Danio rerio: one gene and its partner. The protein of the gene in region 1 purifies or fractionates together with the protein of each later gene. This does not show direct contact. Links are inferred from orthologs where the notes say so. Each region holds a gene or a part of one and is shown in the gene's direction. Other genes may lie near its edges.

The links.
Region 2: the proteins of srpk3 (region 1) and ftsj3 purify together in Homo sapiens (affinity purification with mass spectrometry; 3 studies listed by BioGRID and IntAct, with this or other methods). This does not show direct contact. The link is inferred for Danio rerio from reciprocal best matches to the Homo sapiens genes SRPK3 and FTSJ3.

The regions. Positions count from the first base shown.
Region 1 is NC_133183.1:9,841,821-9,848,507, forward strand, and holds the start of srpk3 (SRSF protein kinase 3), read left to right. Parts: upstream 1-2,437; 5' UTR 2,438-3,841; coding exon 3,842-3,977; intron 3,978-4,380; coding exon 4,381-4,501; intron 4,502-6,687. UniProt on the Homo sapiens protein: Serine/arginine-rich protein-specific kinase which specifically phosphorylates its substrates at serine residues located in regions rich in arginine/serine dipeptides, known as RS domains.
Region 2 is NC_133197.1:3,319,757-3,326,343, forward strand, and holds part of ftsj3 (pre-rRNA 2'-O-ribose RNA methyltransferase FTSJ3), read left to right. Parts: intron 1-2,081; coding exon 2,082-2,168; intron 2,169-2,251; coding exon 2,252-2,395; intron 2,396-5,256; coding exon 5,257-5,392; intron 5,393-6,082; coding exon 6,083-6,285; intron 6,286-6,373; coding exon 6,374-6,488; intron 6,489-6,587.

The DNA.
Region 1 (6,687 bases):
TCATACTAATGTATGCACAGGGTTGTGTTTTAAAAATGGGAAACATATTAGTTTGCTCTTTCCTGTGTATGTTTGTTAGCCTGTCGTTGAATGTGTTTGGCCTCTCTGTGTATTTCTTGATTATTATAGGCTGATGCATGCTTGAGATTTGATTGGATTTCCTGATTGGGGTGCTTTATGAGAGCTTCACTCGGTGGACTGCGTTATGAGTGCATGTCTCTCATAAAAAACACCGTCTGAGTACAAAGTGTGTGTGTGCATGAGAGTAATTGTAGCGCTCTGCATACATGATGTTCAGATTTTATGAGCAAATCTCCTGTTATGTAAGCTTTTCTCTGAGAGAACTTTCTTTTTGTACAGTCTTGCGATTTACTGTTTTGCCAATGGTGTGAAATACAGCTTTGTATGTTTGCTGATGAACAATTCAGATTGTTGTTTAGAGAATTGCTGGTGTATATGGAGCCCTGGCGCCCCGCTCGAGTTTTACACGACTTTTATACAGGGGTAATAATTAAAAAAATAATAATAATATATGGTAATTTTCTAATGAAGTTGAGGGGTTAAAAGAGAGCTGAAATCCAGTCAGTAAAAGACTCTTTTTGTATTTGTATTGTGTATAGTTTGCTAACAATTGTGTATATGTGCCTGTACATATTGTGAAGGGGACGTGCTCCTTTTTTTTTTCTCCTCCAACTTGGACAGAGTTACTGTCTCCATTCAGGAGAAATTGCGAGCCAAAATGTTGACATGAGTGAAATGGATCATTTGTATCTGGAAACAAATAAAGCTATAATTTTAACAATGAAAACTTGCTGGTTTGAATGTTATATATCTAAAGAATATGAACAGTATTTTAAAACAATGGATGTTTCAAAATCTTTTTTATTTATTTATTTTTTTTATTTATTTTTTTAAAGGAAATGACAAATATCTTGCTTCTGCTTGTTACATATGTTTATTTTTGTACTCATTTCGGGATTTAAAAAAAATGTATTTAAGTTTCTATGGCTGATTTTAATTTAGGTATATATATTTCCTTTTTTCAATTTAACCCTTGTACACTGTTAACTGACTACCCTTTTGTTATGTTCGAGCTGAAAACATTCACTGAATTAAACTGCTGTAAAACTGCATCAGATAAGTATTTTTTTCAAAATTATTATTTTTTATAAATCTGTTAATCAACCTCAGTCCTGATCAAAACTACTAAATTGTTTAGAAAATTACAGGATTTGAACTCTTTAATATGCAAATTCATAAATGACGTCACTGATTTGGTGAAAAAACACATAAAATTATGTATTTTTAATACATAAAAATACATACGTGGGCTTTTTTACTTATAACACAGTCTTGCATGTGAAAGATTAGTAACAACATTGGCTTTGATAGATTGTTAGATTTTTATTTTTTTTCTCCATATTTTACCGGTGGTGGATGTTTTTGCCCCATTGACTTCCATAAATGTGTATATGTGCCTGTAAATATTGTGAAGAGGACATGCTCACTTTTTTTTCCAACTTGGGCAGAGTTTTTTATATCTGAATTTAGGCCTATATATTTTCGGATTTAATTTAACCCTTGTGCACCAATCAAATTGACGACGTTTTTGTTATGTTTAAGCTGAAAACACTTTACTGAATTAAACTGCTGTAAAAATGCATCAGATAAACATTTTGTCAATTTTTTGCATTAATCTGTTAATCAACCTCAATCCTGATCAAAACTACTAAATTGTTTAGAAAATTACAGGATTTTAACTCTTTAATACACAAATTAATAAATGATGTCACTGTTTTGGTGAAAAAACACATAAAATTATGTATTTTCTAAACAATTTAGTAGTTTTGATCAGGACTGAGGTTGATTAACAGATTTATGCAAAAACAAATGTTAAAAATATTTATCTGATGCATTCTTACAGTAGTTTAATTTAGTGGATGTTTTTATCCTGAACATAGCAAAAGGGTAGTAAATTTGCCTGGAGAGTATTGTTGAGTTTTTAAAAAAATTAAATAAAATTTAAAGCATTTTTTTCACAATATCTGCCAAAAGATTTGTCAGCAAAAATCATTCTGCTAGCCAAAACACAGAAAAGTTTATGAGCAAATTATAGACACAAAATCATTTCAGAGTGGATTAAAACATCCCTAACAGTACATAAGGGTTAATTTATCATTTTAGTATGCTGTTTAATTAGTTTTTTATGCCTGTATAAACTCAAAAAAGAACTTTTGCTGCTTGTTCAAATTATTTAAAATGAGCCGAAATGGGACAACTTAATTGTTTTAAGTTAAATCCACTTAAATTTGTAAAAACAAATTGGTTAACTTAATCGACTTGTGTTGAGACAGCATGAATAAACTGTGTGGAACCCAGCATTTTTGACAGTGTAGTTTTTATTAGTTAAATGTTGCATTTGCAATTAGCCAAAATATTATTATTTAATAGTTCATGCAATACATTTTTAATGGTTAAGCTATTTTTGGTTAACAATAAAAACCTTGATATGAGAAAGTGAAGAATTAAAAAACCTCGAGAGAAACCAGGCTCAGTTGGGCACGGCTAATTTCTCTTCTGGCCAAACGTCTTCTGCAGTCTAGGCGCCAGAGGCTGGAGAAAAATAACAATCTGTTAAAGTTTTACATTTAAAACTGTGGCTTATTGTCATTTATTGGGCTAATAAAAAACTGGCCAACACATAAAATTTTCCTCAGTTTCAGAATTTGGCCATTTGAATAAAAAACAAAAAACCATAACAATAATAATGTATGCTTCACGATTTTTCTAGGTTCTCGTAAAAAAGTACATTTGAAAATTCATTGATAACAACAATAACCTAATAAGTATTAATATGGACCACTTTTGGCTCTTCACAACTTTTTTTCAAGAATAAGGTCCAAGAGTTAGAATAAAAGTTGCTTATGAATTGTTTTCTCTATAACAACAATACAGTGAAAGTTTCGCTTGTTCTTAAAGCCTTTTCGATGGGTTATTTTGATAACTTATCATGGAATAAATAGGACAAATATTGGACCTTTGTCAGTGGAGTTTAGGTCTTTCCCGATTACTTGTAGCTAAACACAGTAGAAATAAGTTATAATTTACTTATTTAAAGTAAAAACTTTTGGAGAAAATAAAGTGAAAAAGGTCAATGCTGAGGAGAGTTCAATCTTACAAGTGTTTTTTTCCCCTTTTTCCTTCACTTTCGTCAATTGGAGAAGTTTGTTCCTCACCACTGTCGCCACTACCTTGCTTGGTTTGGGACTTGTGGAGCTGCGCATCGATGGATTTGCTTTTCAGTGTTTGGACTTTCAGCAGTAAAATTAAACTGCACTGAACTGAACTAAACCAAACTTCAGCTCTAAAAACTGGACTGACACTATTTCAGTTTACTTGAACTTCTATTTTTAAGCTGCTTTGACACAATCTACATTGTAAAAATTCTATAGAAATAAAGATGAATTACATTTTTTAATGATTTTTTTATAGTTGCAATACAAAGTGTGTTTACAATTTTATGAAAATTATTGTAGCCTATATCTTATATTATAAATAGCCTATTTTCTTAAGATTAGGAGAAAAAACTCCCTATAAAAAACTCGATAAAACTATAATTGAATATGGAAGTTAAAAAATGTATCTTATGAAGTATCTTCTCGCTGTATAAATCTCTGCGGTTGGAAAATAGCAATGTTTTTTGGATGTTCAATAATGTCAGTACGACGTTGAGAAAATAAAGTAGCTAAATATAGCATAAATAAGCTGATTTGGTGTGCATATTATTAGAGTTTACCAATGAGGATATTTACTCACAGTAGTGGCGGCCTCTGATGTCCAAATGTCCTCGTGCAGTCGGTCCCATTTCAACCGCACGAGCTGCTGTCAATACAGCGCTGAGCCTCAGTGCGCATGCTCAGAACCAACTGAGGCGAATGTGCGTGAGGTGACAGCTGTCCCGATGATATCGATGAACGGTGAGAATGTTTTTACTAAAAAACAGCCAAACAAGCAGTATCACGTTAATTCCTGTGGATGTATTATGTGTGTTGATGATGAATGCAACAATGTCGGCTTGTTCGAGGGATAATATGACGCTTGTTGTGATGACCGGAGCTTGTGCTAGCGGTAAAGCTAAGCGCGAGCACGTTTAGAGGATCTAATGTTTGAATATGCACAGATTATTCCTTTCGTTTGAATCATTCGTTTGATTGTTGATTAATGAAGTCATATAGCCTATTGTCGATGTGAAATTCTCGATATTTTCAATTCATGCTAGTGGTTTGCCCTCATATGTAGTGAATTGGGGGTGGGGCGTCCATAACAGCATGTCTAATATATATTATGTTATGTGATATTCTTCTCTCTGATGCATGGCAGTATCCAGCAGTGATAACAACCTTCCCCAGAACAGCCACGGCAAAAAGCAGAAGAAGAAAAACAAGAAGCACCGCAAAGCAGCAGTAGCAGCGGCAGTGGAGATCTCTAGTTTGGAGCTGGGGTGAGTGTGTGTGTGTGTTCAACTGGGCAAAATCGAGATCTGGGTTTCTGCTCTGTGAGATGCTGCTAAAAATATATAGGAGGGTGGCCATGGGAGTCACTTCTCCAGATAAGCATATTGACTCATGGCCCTCCCTCCTGGTCCATGCACGTGGAGCCTATTTTAACACATCCTTGGAAAAAAGATCTGAACAATACACATCAGGTACATACTGCATGTATGTGTGTTGTGTAGATGATTAAAATATAACATTGATATAGAGCTTTGCAATATTACTATATATATATATATATATATATATATATATATATATATATATATATATATATATAGTATGGACAAAATAAAAAGTATCATCTCATATTACGCTTTATTGTTTATTTCCCCTGCATAATTATCACATTCTCTTTGTATCATATTCTAAGAAGGCATTATATTTATATTAAAATGCAAGTGATTTAACTGCATTAGTATTAAATTTAATTAAATTAAATACAATATATATCACATGAGCAAAATAAAAAGTTTACCGTTTCATATTATGCTCTATCATTAATTTTGTGGTATCAAAATGTGAGAAAGTTGGAATTTTGAAAAATCTGAACAACACACACCAGGTACATACTGCATGTATGCGTGTTGTGGATAGTAAACACAAATTGTGCACAGGTATTGTCCAAAATAATTTTTTTTTGGGGTAATTATTAGTTTGGCACATGAAATTTCAGTACAACATGAAACAACCTAAGGAAAAAGGCAAGTGATTAAAGTATAACAACAATGATATAGGGCTGTGCAAAATGACAAAATGTATAGTATGGACAAAATAAAAAGTCTATCATCTCATATTACGCTCTATTGTTTATTTCCCCTGCATAAATATCATATTCTCTTAGTATCATATTCTAAGAAGGCATTATATTTATATTAAAATGCAAGTGATTTAACTGCATTAGTATTAAATTGATATAGGGCTGTGAAATTTGACAATATATATCACATGAGCAAAATAAAAAGTTTACCGTTTCATATTATGCTCTATCATTAATTTTGTGGTATCAAAATGCGAGAAAGTTGGAATTTTGAAAAATCTGAACAACACACACCAGGTACATACTGCATATATGTGTGTTGTGGATAGTAAACGCAAATTGGGCACAGGTATTGTCCAGAATACAATTTTTTGGGGTAATTATTATTTTGGCACACATGAAACAACCTAAGGAAAAAGGCAAATGATTAAAGTATAACAACAATGATATAGGGCTGTGCAAAATGACAAAATGTATAGTATGGACAAAGTAAAAAGTCTATCGTCTCATATTACGCTCTGTTGTTTATTTCCTCTACATAATTATCACATTCTCTTAGTATCATATTTTAAGAAGGCATTATATTTATATTGTCAGCATGACATATACAGTTTAAGTTGTTGTGCACTGAAATTAATGAACAATATTATAATGTTTAAAAAACTATGTAGGCTTAATGCTTATAAATAATTCTTTTGATGTACCTCATTAATCAGACAACGTTTTGAGAGATTGTGCTAATCAATCAGTCTGAAAAAAAGTGTTACTTTAAGGAAATATTTTGTAGATATGATTATTTTGGTGTCGTTGCGCACAGATTAACATCTAAAATTCACTTATTTTGGCTAATTATTAATGTCAGACACTGAATTTCAGTACAACACAAAAACTGGGGGGCTGCTGTAAATATTTAGTTGGAACAGCGTTACTTTTAAACTACGTCCAATGGTGCAACACAAAAATACTTAGTAGTGTGTAAGTTGTAACTAAGTGTCTCTTTAAGTCACAACTAGGCTACATTTTGGCAGACACTAAATTTCAATACAAAATAAAAAAGTAATAAAGCAAATGATTAAACTGCATTGGTATTACTGCGAAATTGAGCTTTGCAATATGATGATATATATTGTAAAGAGCAGGGGTGTCCAAACTCGGTCCTGGAGGGATGGTGCCCTGCAGATTTTAACTCCGACTTGCCTCAACACAGCTGCAAAGATGTTTCCAGAAAACCAAGTAATGCCACAGTCACACTGGACATTTTTCCCCAGAGACTTCCATTCATATGCACACCAATGCGTCAGACCAGAAACACAAGCTCATGCAGCAAGTTTCGCAGTTCGCTGCATTGCAAAGTTCGAGCTTGGTGAACTCTGA
Region 2 (6,587 bases), on another chromosome or scaffold:
TAATTGGTCCACTGTTTTGGTACTAACAGTAATGAGCGCTACTGCGTATAAAAGTTTACATTCTTCTTTTATATTTTGCCCCACCTCTAAGTTCTTCTGATTGGTCCACTGCTTTGGTACAAACAGTGAGTGTCACTGCATGTTAAAGTTTTTTCTTTTTAACTTTTTTTTTTTTTTTTGTCTCTCGTTCTTTTTATCTTGCATTCCTTTATCTTGAATTCTTATCACCAAGTTTTTTTTTATCTCGAATTTTTAAAAATTATTTTGAGTTATTTTATTCCCCTTGTGTTCTTTTAACTTGGTGTTCTTTTAACCTGGCGTTCTTTAAACCTGGCGTTCTTTAAACCTGGCGTTCTTTAAACCTGGCGTTCTTTAAACCTGGCGTTCTTTTAACCTGGCGTTCTTTAAACCTGGCGTTCTTTAAACCTGGCGTTCTTTAAACCTGGCGTTCTTTAAACCTGGCGTTCTTTTAACCTGGCGTTCTTTAAACCTGGCGTTCTTTAAACCTGGCGTTCTTTAAACCTGGCGTTCTTTAAACCTGGCGTTCTTTAAACCTGGCGTTCTTTAAACCTGGCGTTCTTTAAACCTGGCGTTCTTTAAACCTCGCGTTCTTTTAACCTGGCGTTCTTTAAACCTGGCGTTCTTTAAACCTGGCGTTCTTTTAACCTGGCGTTCTTTTAACCTGGCGTTCTTTTAACCTGGCGTTCTTTAAACCTGGCGTTCTTTTAACCTGGCGTTCTTTTAACCTGGCGTTCTTTTAACCTGGCGTTCTTTAAACCTGGCGTTCTTTAAACCTGGCGTTCTTTAAACCTGGCGTTCTTTTAACCTGGCGTTCTTTAAACCTGGCGTTCTTTTAACCTGGCGTTCTTTAAACCTGGCGTTCTTTAAACCTGGCGTTCTTTAAACCTGGCGTTCTTTTAACCTGGCGTTCTTTAAACCTGGCGCTCTTTAAACCTGGCGTTCTTTAAACCTGGCGTTCTTTAAACCTGGCGTTCTTTTAACCTGGCGTTCTCTTAACCTGGCGTTCTCTTAACCTGGCGTTCTTTAAACCTGGCGTTCTTCTAACCTCATGTTCTTTTTACCTCAAGTTACTTTAACCTGGTGTTCTTTTTACACTGTGTTCTTTTTACCTCATGTTCTTTTCACCTTGTGTACTTTACCTTGTGTTCTTTTTATCTCGTTCTTTTTATCTCGAGTTCTTTTTACCTTGTTCTTTTAATCTTGTGTTCTTTTTACGGTGAGTTCTTTATACCTCGAGTTCTTATTTTGAGTTTTTTAACCTTGTGTTCTTTTTATCTTTATTTTCCCCTCTATCTCGTGCTTTTTTTTTTTTTTACTGCAAGTTCTTGTCTCGGGTTCTTTTTACCTCGTGTTCTTTTATCTTGCGTTCTTTTTTCCTCTAGTTCTTTTTACCTTGCATTTTTTTACCTGTAGTTCTTATCTCGTGCTCTTTTTACCTCGTGTTCTTTCTACCTCTTGTTATTTTTATCTTTTGTTCTTTTTACCTCGTCTTGTCTTTATCTCGAGTTGTATTTGTATAAGTTTTTTTTTATCTGAGTTCTTTTTATCCCCTGTTCTCTTATCTTGAGTTCTTTTATCTTTTGCCCCGCCTCCCAAGTTCTTTTAATTAGTCCACTGCTTTGGTACAAACAGTAATGAGCGCCTCTAAAAGTTTTTAAATAAAAGTTTGTTTATCCTGACACAGCGTCTTAACAATGCAGCACTTCAAAAGACTGAATACATTTAAAACTGCTTCTATCACATTTGTTTATTTATATTTTTTGAAAATTATATGATATACAAGTTAATATGTTATTCCAAAATAAACATAAAATTGACTTTAACTTTGAGAAGTTGAAATGCATAAAATCTAGCGTTTTTTGAGGCCTATAAAAATCCAAGCCGACTAAAATATAAAAAGTCCGATCCATAGTCTTTTTCACTTGCAATCATTAAAGACATTTAAAAACAAATCAGATGCTAAAAGCCAGAATTCTGGCTTTTTGATTGTTGCATCTATAAGGACGACCATATATGAAGAGCTGAATTCTGATTGGTTGTGGTGTTGTTGTTGTTGTTAGTCTGCTGTTGTCATGGAGATCCAAGCTGAGGAAGTTCCTAGCGAAAAAGCTGCGACAGGAAGCCAAACAACTCGATCAGGAAGCGAGGTAAGCAATCGTAACAGTTTGCTTGATGCGTAATTATTTATGCACGTTTAATTATCAACTGTTTATTTTTAATGGGTGTTCAGCTCGGATGATGAGCAGAGTGACACCGATGAGAAGGAGAGCAAGAAGAAGAAGTCAGAAGAGAAGAAAGAGGAGGAAGATGAAGACGAGGCGATGGAGAAAAAGCTGACAGAGCTGAAAGCAGAAGAGTTTGCTGAGCTCAAACGGTACAGTTTTAGCATTTGATGATTATTTTGGTGTTATGTGAATTTTCTTTATTCTTTATTTCTACAGCGCCTTTTACAAGGTAGATTGTGTTAAAGCAGCTTAACATTGAAGTCCTAGTAAATTGAAACCACTTCAGGCCAGTTGTTACACTTGGAAGTTCTGTTTAGTTCAGTTAATGTTAATTAATTTATGTAAATGTCACAGCTGAAATGCTGAATTTACACGAGAAAACCCAACAATGCGCAATTTTACCAAAGAGTGTTGATATTTTTAAGCAATAAAACAAAATGGCCATAACAAGATGTATGGATGTGTGTTCTAGCGAAGATTTTATCCTGTTTTCACGTTATTTTAGGTGATTTTTTTTGTTGTTGTTGTTATTTTAGTTTTTTACTTTTTTTTATAAACTAATAAACAATAGATTTATAATAATAATAATAAATAATAGATAAAAAATACAAATATGCAAATTATATATTATATATACAAAATATATGAAAAAAATGACAAATAACAGATTTTTTATAAGCTTTTTTTATGAACTTACACATTGTTTATGGAATTAATAGATTTATATGAATAAATAATAAATAGAAAATGATAAATGGAAACCACAAATCTACTCTTCTTCTTCTTTGGCCTTAGTCCCTTACGCCCTATTCACACGGGGCGTCAGCGTCAACGCTTCCCATTCACTTTGAATGGGTGACGTCAGGCGTTGCCGAACTGCATTGTGGATCCGTCGGCGGCGCTTCAGAAGCGTTCCTCGCTGCAGAAGTTGGGACCAGCTCAACTTTTCAAGCGCCGACGGAAGCGTCAGCCAATCAGATCGCTGTATGCAAATACACCAGCTCAGACAGTGGCCTATTGCTGACTGAATTTCATTGGCTGACGCTTCTATGACGATCGTTTCAGCTCCAACTTCAGACACGCCCTCTGTCAAGCGTTGATGCTGAAGCCCCGTGTGAATAGGGCGTTATGGTTGCGGGGTTGGCTCTTTGGAACAAGTCCTCCATTTAGACTTGTCCATGTGATAAGGACTTTTTTACACCTTCCGGCCGGCCTGTCGTCTGGGCCTGTCACCCTCATACACTCAAACACTCACACACTCATACACTATGGACAATTTAGTCTACCCAATTCACCTGCACCATGTCTTTGGACTGTGGGGGAAACCGGAGCTCCTGGAGGAAACCCACGCGAACGCAGGGAGAACATGCAAACTCCACACAGAAATGCCAACTGAGTCGAGGTTCGGCCCAGCAATCTTCTTGCTGCGAGGTGACAGCACTACCTACTGCGCCAATGCTTCGCCCTAGAAAATAAAATCTACTAAACAAATAATATACGACAAATGATGACAAATAACAGATTTTAAATGAAAGCTCTCGCTCGGCCCTTGGTCTAACCCACACTGGTCACAGCTACCAAGCCGACCAATCACAGAGCTTGTGTTACGCAACGTTGCGAGGTGTTCGTACATTTTTTTTTGAGAGGTTTGTGTCAGCGTCAGCATCAGCCACGGCGAGAGCTATGCCACCCGAAAGCTGTGTCGGAGCATATGCATAATGCAGAAGTGTAAATCAGCCGTAAAGGCTCTATCTTGACCATCCAAACGCAAAGTGCAGGGCGCAAAAGCATTAAGGGCGTGTCAGAATCCGCTTTTGCTTTTTTAAGTACGGAAAAATCCGCTTTGCGCCGTGACGCATGGTCTAAAGCCTGGTTTATACTTCTGCGTCAAGTGACCGGCGCAACCAACGCGCTTAGCTGTGCATTTATACTTCTGCGCGCTGTCTCTGTTGGTCTGCATTAACACTTCAGAAACGCTAGTTGGCAGTGAGGTGTTAATGTTCCTCTGTGTCGAGTTTCTTCGCTGCTGTTTTGCTTTTCCTGAACACTTCCTGGATGTACAAGTGACTCAAACTCGCTTATTTTGAGGCAGGAACCGGCGGACGTGCAGCAACTTTAACTATGAGGTAAACACAAAACAAAACTTTCCATCCGGAGCTCCTTCACGGGACTCCACACTTGTAAACAATCGCTCCATTTGGGCTAACGCCGCTCGCGCGGCTCTCGGTCCCGCCCAGACTCGTCAGCGCTACAAAGCCGACCAATCACAGAGCTTACGCAACGCGTTGTTGCGACATGTAGTTACATTTTTTGAGAGGTGCATGTCAGCGACGCCTACGGCCATGGTGAAGGGCTATGCGTCAGCGCCGTAGCATACGCCGGTGTTTGATGCAGAAGTATAAATCAGCCTTAACAGGGTTGAGCTTATTCTCTTAATGAGTTATAGGTGTGTTTTGAGAATAAACCAATCAGAGCCTCATCTCCCATTCCCTGTAAGAGCCAGTTGCGCTGTGCCATAGAGCGCGAATGCATTTGCTATTTAAACTGCGTGCTGCAAAACGTCAAAACGACTCTTGCATCAGGCTGAAGCAACAATTGCCTTGCGCCGGGTGTAGGATAGGGCCCTAAGTGTGTGTACTGTGTATATATATTATGTATATATATATATATATATAAATACACACAGGCCAACATATATTTGTGGAAATGTTTATATATAATGTTAAATTAATTTATTTTTAAATCTAAAATGTGAAATGATAAAATAATATTAGCTAAAATTGTTGCATAATTTAGTTTATATATAGTTTCTGTGTGTGTGTGTGTGTGTGTGTGTGTGTGTGTGTGTGTGTATCCCATATGCATATCAAAAATATATAATACACAAATATTTTATCAAAACAAACTCGGATGTAATTAATCTTTGTTCAGCACTTATTTTTAGCTAGTAACAACATTAGCCTTTCATTTTTCACCAAATGTGTGTGTGTGTCTGTGTGTGTGTGATCAGGAAGAAGAAGAAGCTGCTGAAGGAGCGTCGTAAGCAGCGGGAGCGTGTGGAGCTGAAGATGGATCTTCCAGGAGTGTCGATCGCAGACGCTGGCGATTCCTCCATGTTCAGCCTCGGCAGCATCAGGAAGAGCCAGGCAAGAAAAGCACCGCATCCCAAATGACAAACTATACGGCAGTGGTCTGGACACAGACCTGGTGCAGTTGCAGTCTTCGCTGCATCCGATGCCCACACTTAACCCCACCCCTCACAGTGACGTCAATAGCTCCATTGAGCGCATTGTGTCTGACATTGCAAGTTCAAGACTTGCAGTTTCAGCTTGCGTAATCGAGGCTGCATCCAGATACTTTTGAACTATGCACTTTGTACTCACACACTCGACAGCATAGTGTATGAATGTAGTGTCGTCCCAATTGGAACACTAATGATTTTACTAACCGGAAATTCAAACCACATCCAGACCACATTTGACGGTTGCCAAATTGCCGAATAAATGCGCAAACTACCAAATAATAATCGTAATAACCACGTTCACCACCAGGAGGCGGTATAATCACTTATGCAGGAGAATTGCTTTCACAATCCAAAATAAATTAAGTAATCAAAGGTCAGCACCCCATTGCTGCACCCTGTTAATCTGTAGCCCCTCCCCTTCACTAGCAGCTCCGCCCCTTTTACTACGTGAGCAAAGCTGTGACCGCTGCTTATATTGTTTATACTACAAAGTGGCGCAGAATAGTGCAGAAACTCTGATCCTGCTCACCCTGACTCTCTCTCTGTGTGTGTCTGTCTGTCTGTGTGCGTGTGTGTGTGTGTTGTCCTGCAGGGTCTGCATCAGCTGGCTCAGGGTGATATGTCTGCAGCAGACGCTCTGCTGGAGGATGACGAGCAGGAGGATGTTCATCTGTCTGATGAAGAGCAGGAGGACGAGCGCATGTCTCTGGCCTCAGACCTGGACTCTGATGACCTGCAGGAGATCCAGCAGAAGGAGGAGCAGATGCTCAAAAACAAGCCCAAGAAGAAGAAGAAGTACGGCTCCGCTGCAGTTTCTCTTTGAAAACATTAACAGTTCATATGAAACTACGTTTATAAATAAAATTGATGTGTTTGTGTGCAGAGTGTCGTTTGAGCAGCAGGATGATGGTGACGAGGACAATAAAAACGAATTGCTTGTCGAGCTTGAAGGAAAAGACGAGAGGAAGGAGCGCGAGACCAGCATGTGGTTCAGCAAGGTGAGAATCTGTACCGCTATACTGGCTAAACAAACTCAGGATTGCTGAATTAGTTTCAGGCTAATTAAACCAAACAAGTGCAATCTGAACTTAATCAGA